2 linked regions of the Mus musculus genome follow. The protein of the gene in region 2 purifies or fractionates together with the protein of the main gene of each other region. This does not show direct contact. Links are inferred from orthologs where the notes say so. Each region holds a gene or a part of one and is shown on either strand. Other genes may lie near its edges.

Region 1 (3,521 bases), on a different chromosome or scaffold from region 2:
CACTAAGCTGTTCTCCAAAGGGGCACTAGTAACTAAGTTCAAGAATCTTTCCTCAGACCCTCTGTTCCTTGACTTGTGGACCATTTCCCAACATCCTAACACAGAAATCAAGTCTCCTAAATGATGAGCTGCCACTGATCTCAATGACAATAATTGCTTCATGACCTATACAAACTCTCTCCTTCATCTTCATCACACAGGTCCTGATTCCCAGACAGCTCGGCAGTGTGAAAGAAAGCTGCAGACATCAGTTACTCTGCTATGGCAAACGCTTCCTCAAACTCCTTATTTGACCTTATTTGACTTCTGGAGCCAACACTTTCTATATCCAGACCAGGATCCCAGACACACACTCTAGATGTCTCTTGCGTGATTTTCAACCATGTTAAGGGCAGTATTCATTAGCTCCTACCTGTATTACTTTATGAGCCTTACCTCAACTGATCCCCTTACCTCAGAGGTCATTATCTGTTGTAATTTACACTGCATGGACTTGCCAAGCTAATCCCTCTCAGGTATAGCTATAATTATTTTGCATTTCTTCAAATCTTCAGTGGTTAATGAATTAAACAGAACATTTATCCTAGCCCTCAGATAACAGACAGGGCAAATCCATCTTATTATGAAGATAGTTGTTTTATTCCATTTTTACAGAGTTCACCTAAGGCACAGACTGGTAGGTGATTAAAAAGATATAAACCAGAGGGAAAAAAACAGCTTCCCAGGCCAGAGCCACCACTTTCTATCTGTTTGTTCTAGCTAACTCTCTAAAAGTTAGCCACTCTAGTCATTTAACCACACTTAGAGTCACACATTGCTATGAGGATCTCACATGTGGTTACAGGCCCATTTGATTGGTCTTTGTTGTACCTTTATTAGGCTAAATTCCACTAGAGAAAGGCCCATCTATTTTAATAGACTGTTGAGAGACCATTTTAAACAAATACAAAGATGTACCAATTTCTTGACTAGAAAGACTTGCCTACGTAAAGATGTCAGATCAGTTCTTACTGAGTTAATTCAATGCATCTCATTAATGACCATGTTCTCCGCCACCTGCAGACCGACACTAGAATTGATTACGATTTAAAGGAAGGATATACCAATAAAACTACTTTGTTGAAAAATAAACAAGAGAAATCTGCAATGCCTATCAGACTTTAAAGCATACTATAAAACTTATAATTTAAATGGTATTAACTCACAGGCAGATCAATGAAAGAGAATAGGAAATCCTTAAGAGAATTAACTGCAAATGGAAACTCCTCTGAATGAAGTAAGAAAAGTCTGAAGAGCTAAGAATTAAATTATTTTAAAAGTGCATCTCCATACCTGGGAAATGTATGTGACTGGTGATGATTTTATACAAGTTCAAGTACCTTTCCCTACCTGGTGCTCTAATTAAATTTAATTCTTAATAATGGTGCAATTATTCAGAAGACCCTTGCATTGAATATAACTTACACTAACAAAAGCAATTAAAAACCCACAAAAGAACAATGTGCCTTGTTTTAAATTTCTACACAGAATACGCTATTTAAAAATCCTTTCAGAAAAGGTAAGTGAAGAGACTGGGGATTACGCAAGCGCACATACTCTTTTTTTTTTTTTTTTTTTTTGGTTTGTTTGTTTGTTTTTTTTTAAATTAGATATTTTCTTTATTTACATTTCAAATGAAATCCTGAAAGTCCCCTATACCCCCAACCCACACCCTGCTCCCCAACCCTTCCACTCCCACTTCCTGGCCCTGGCATTCCCCTGTGTTGGGGCATATAATCTTCGCAAGTCCAAGGGCCTCTCCTCAAAGGATGGCCAACTAGGCCATCTTCTGCTACATATGTAACTAGAGGCATGAGCTCTGGGGGTACTGGTTAGTTCATATTGTTGTTCCTCCTATAGGGTTGCAGACCCCTTCAGCTCCTTGTATACTTTCTCTTGCTTCTCCATTGGAAGCCCTGTGCTCCATCCAATAGATGAGCATCCACTTCTGTATTTGCCAGGCACTGGCAAAGCCTCACAAGAGACAGCGCACATACTCTTTAGTGAAGATCCCGCGAGGGCCTGTGGCTGTGCCCTGGCTGGCGTCCAATGAATGTTTTTCCAGAATGTTGCGGGCAGCTGGACTTAAGCGGAACCTAAGAATAAAAACATGGAGACGAATGAAACTAATTAACCCTTATATTGATTGAAATAGATCTAAATGTCTACAGTTTTGCTGATAATTAGGAAAATGAATTCTTAACACTGAAGCTAAAATGAGTCTCAGGGAGAGCCACAGTCAGGCTGTCGAGATGGCTCAGCTGTTAAAGGCTAGGCTCATAACCCAAAATATAAGGATAGTCACAGTCACATAAACTAATCTGTATCAATCTACTTTATCATCAAAACACTTTTATAAAGCAGTAAGTAGTTACCAATTCTAAATAACTTTAGAAAGAGTAAATGTTCAGAACACACGTAAGACGGCTTCTGACTGTCAGCGTAAGTCAGAGAGGAGAAAACACAGGGAGCCCGGCATGGAAATGAGAAATGCCGGGCTGCCGCCCAGGGAGCTAAAAGGTCACTCTGGTTACCCAGATCCCAACAATATACACTGCACTCTCTGATCAAACTAGCACAGTATGCTTTGTAAACAGTAATATTAGGGCTAGGGCCTGCGTACTGAGTTTGGATCTTCAGTACCTACATAAAAGACAGGTGCAGAGATACCAATCTGCAACACTGGCACTGGTGAACTAGGGACAATGGTCGCAAGAACCTGTACTATCACAGGACAGTTGGAAAAACTTTACCCGTGTCAGAATCTCAAATACTGAACTGTTTGAATAGGAACATACGCTAAAATGAAATTTTCATTTTGTATCAACTATATACTGGATACTTGAATTTACATTTAAACACAAAAAATTAAGTTTGGTCTCATGAACATCATTCTGCAATTTTAGAACCTAATTGAGGTTCAGCATAGATACAGATGATTTTATTCTACACTGAGCAAGCAAGGCTTTTAGATTCTAGCCCAAACAAAACCAGTATTCACTGTTTATCAAATGAAGAAGGATGTAAAATAATCATCTTATGTTTCAGTGTCCTAAGAGAAAAGTGGATGATGCTGATTTCAAACCCTAAAATAATCATTACCCTTTTTACACAATAATCATGTCCATGTTCACATAAACGCACTCACCGTGCCGTCCCTTTGTGCTCCTTCCTGGCGGGACAAGGAATCTGCGGCTGTGGAGAGGGCTGAGTAGGAGCTGGTGGTTTTGAGACTGGAGGTGGAGCACTGACATCCTTGGGAATTTCCACCTGTTTCCAATCTTCCCCTTCTTCAACCATCAAAGCAATGAGTGAACCCAGCTGTATATTTTTAGCACCTTCCTCAACCTGTATTTTAAAAAGACAATGGTTGGGATAGAAAAACCCAGGGTCACATGAAGTCACTAAGTCTACAGGTGCAAGGAAGACCTGAGCTAAAGGACACTGAAGACAGAGGGCTCTTCTCTTCCAGCTGCCACCTT
Region 2 (2,272 bases):
GCTTCTGGTTTTAGTTCTGCAGTTTGGGGCAAAGTTTCAGACATAGGAATAAAAGCAATAGAGTTCTGTAGTAGAGCGCTTGGCTATTACGAGCATTGCTCTGGAAATAAAAAGCTTCAATTTGGGCCAGGTGTGGTGTCACACACCTTTAATGCCAGTTCTCTGGAGGCAGAGGCAGGTAGATCTGTGAGATCCTGAGTTCTGGGCCAGCCAAAGACACACTGAAATCCTCTAAAAAACTACTCTAAGAATCTACAGTTTTTATATACAGCATATCAGTTATTTGACACTAATATACGTCTATACGTATGTATGTAGTTTTTCAAGGCAGGATTTCTCTGGGTAGCCCTTGCTATCCTGGAACTCACAATGTACTCCATGCTGGCTTTGAACTCAGAGATCTACCTGCCTCTGCCTCCTGAGGCTCACTCCAGAGTGCTGGCACTAAAGGCATGGGCCTCCACCACCCAGCTTGACACTAATTTCTTAATAGTACTCCAAGACTTCATTGGTGGGAATCCCCTTTATTCCTTATCAAAACAATTAAACAGCAAATGTAGATAATATACTTCTTAGACATATAAGTTACCTTCTGTGGGGGCATTCTTATCTTGCCCCTTCCAGTGAAAGAGGGCAAATTTAACTTAAACAGTAACAGACAAAGCAGAGTATCTAGGGTAGGGAGTGGACAACATTCCACTCATAAGCACATTGAAACTTCTTACAGTTCAGACACCTGCTGTCACTTCAGCATTAACTTTATGACTAGCAGTCTCGCAGTACACATCAGGTGAAGTCCCAACAAGGATTTTAAATAGATTTCAATGACTTTACATTCAAAGTCCGAATCAGATGTTCAGAGTCTTCTTTACTGCAAATATGATGTCTTTGACCTGAGGTACGGAGTTGTCTTCTAGGACCTTTGCGTAAGGCATAGGGACATCAGCACCAGTGACACGCACGGCAGGGGCATCAAGGAAGTTGAATGCAGGGCCTAAGGAAGAGAGATGGCTCACCTGAGAGGCAGACTCGGGACTCAAGAAGAGAATGAATCGTAGTTACAGGACTCTACTTTTGGCTTGACTTTTAAAAACATTTACCCAAAAGACAAAACCCTAGACTGACAAGTTGAAAATTCACTTGGTCACCCCTAGCTTTTGATCTCTTACAAGTCGGCATTCAAGTACAGCTTGATTGTGTTCTAAAACCAGGTTCTTTGAAATACCTTCCATAATTCTGGCACAAATCTCAGCTCCTACTCCAAATTGTGGCCAGCCTCCTTCCACAGTCACGAGATGATTTGTCTTCATCACACTGGCTTCTATGGCTTCGATGTCCATTGGTCTGATGGTGCGCAGATTTATTACCTAAATGAAGACAAGGCAAGGAAACAGGCTTTGTGGAATCGGAGAAACAGGTACACGACTGTATCGACTAAGGAAAAGCAGTACAGTGCCACACACCTGTAAGCTCACCACTTAGGAGGCTAAGGCAGGATGACACTGTGTTGGCAACACAGTGAGATCTTATCTCAAACAAAAGTAAAGGGGGAATTTACAATTAAAGCCTGTCACCCCATCACAGGAAGCTTTGCTCACCTATAGAATTCATTATCCTCCTTGGTTTCAATATCCCTCTTATCAAAAATATAGTTGAGAGTTTAATATGCACTGGGCCTACAGCATGATCCCCTATGGTTGAGAGGTCCTATTATCCACATTTTATAGCCGACGAAGCACAGCGACACTTCCCAAGAAGCACTACTTGATACACAGGATAGTAAAGTCCAGCTGCCAGTCTGGATCTTCTGACTGGACACACACACACACAGGTGACCTCCAGTTTCTTCCTCAATTGCTCTCTTCCTTGTTTGTTTAGAAATGGTCTCACTGAATCTGGACCTGGCTGGCTAGACTGGCTGGCCAAGCTAGCAAGCCCAAGGGATCCTCCTGGCAGGGTCTCCGCAGTGCTGGGTAGCAAGCCCATGCTGCCACCCACCCCTGCCATTGTTCTTATGTGAGTGCTGGGATCCGGACTCGGCTCCCCATGCTTGAGAGCAACTTCACTAAGCCACTTCCCCAGCCTAACAAGACTGGGTCTTAACTTGAGACCCAGAGTCTGTGTGCGGAACAGCAGCCACTTTTGGCTGTAAGCAGAGACAGACTGATGACAGAACTCAAGGTGGCCTGGAAACCATGATTCTACTTCTCATCTTCTGAGTCTTGGGATTACAGGCATCAATTCATAGCTTCTGGATATAGGGTGTGTTGAG

What was found. The genes of interacting proteins can lie anywhere in the genome.
Region 1: the proteins of Pdhb (region 2) and Pdhx purify together in Homo sapiens (affinity purification with mass spectrometry; 4 studies listed by BioGRID and IntAct, counting the BioPlex papers as one, with this or other methods). This does not show direct contact. The link is inferred for Mus musculus from reciprocal best matches to the Homo sapiens genes PDHB and PDHX.

The regions. Positions count from the first base shown.
Region 1 is NC_000068.7:103,039,007-103,042,527, forward strand, and holds part of Pdhx (pyruvate dehydrogenase protein X component, mitochondrial), read right to left. Parts: intron 3,388-3,521; coding exon 3,188-3,387; intron 2,136-3,187; coding exon 2,037-2,135; intron 1-2,036.
Region 2 is NC_000080.6:8,165,488-8,167,759, forward strand, and holds the end of Pdhb (pyruvate dehydrogenase E1 component subunit beta, mitochondrial precursor), read right to left. Parts: intron 1,368-2,272; coding exon 1,226-1,367; intron 995-1,225; coding exon 849-994; 3' UTR 504-848; downstream 1-503. UniProt on the Homo sapiens protein: The pyruvate dehydrogenase complex catalyzes the overall conversion of pyruvate to acetyl-CoA and CO(2), and thereby links the glycolytic pathway to the tricarboxylic cycle.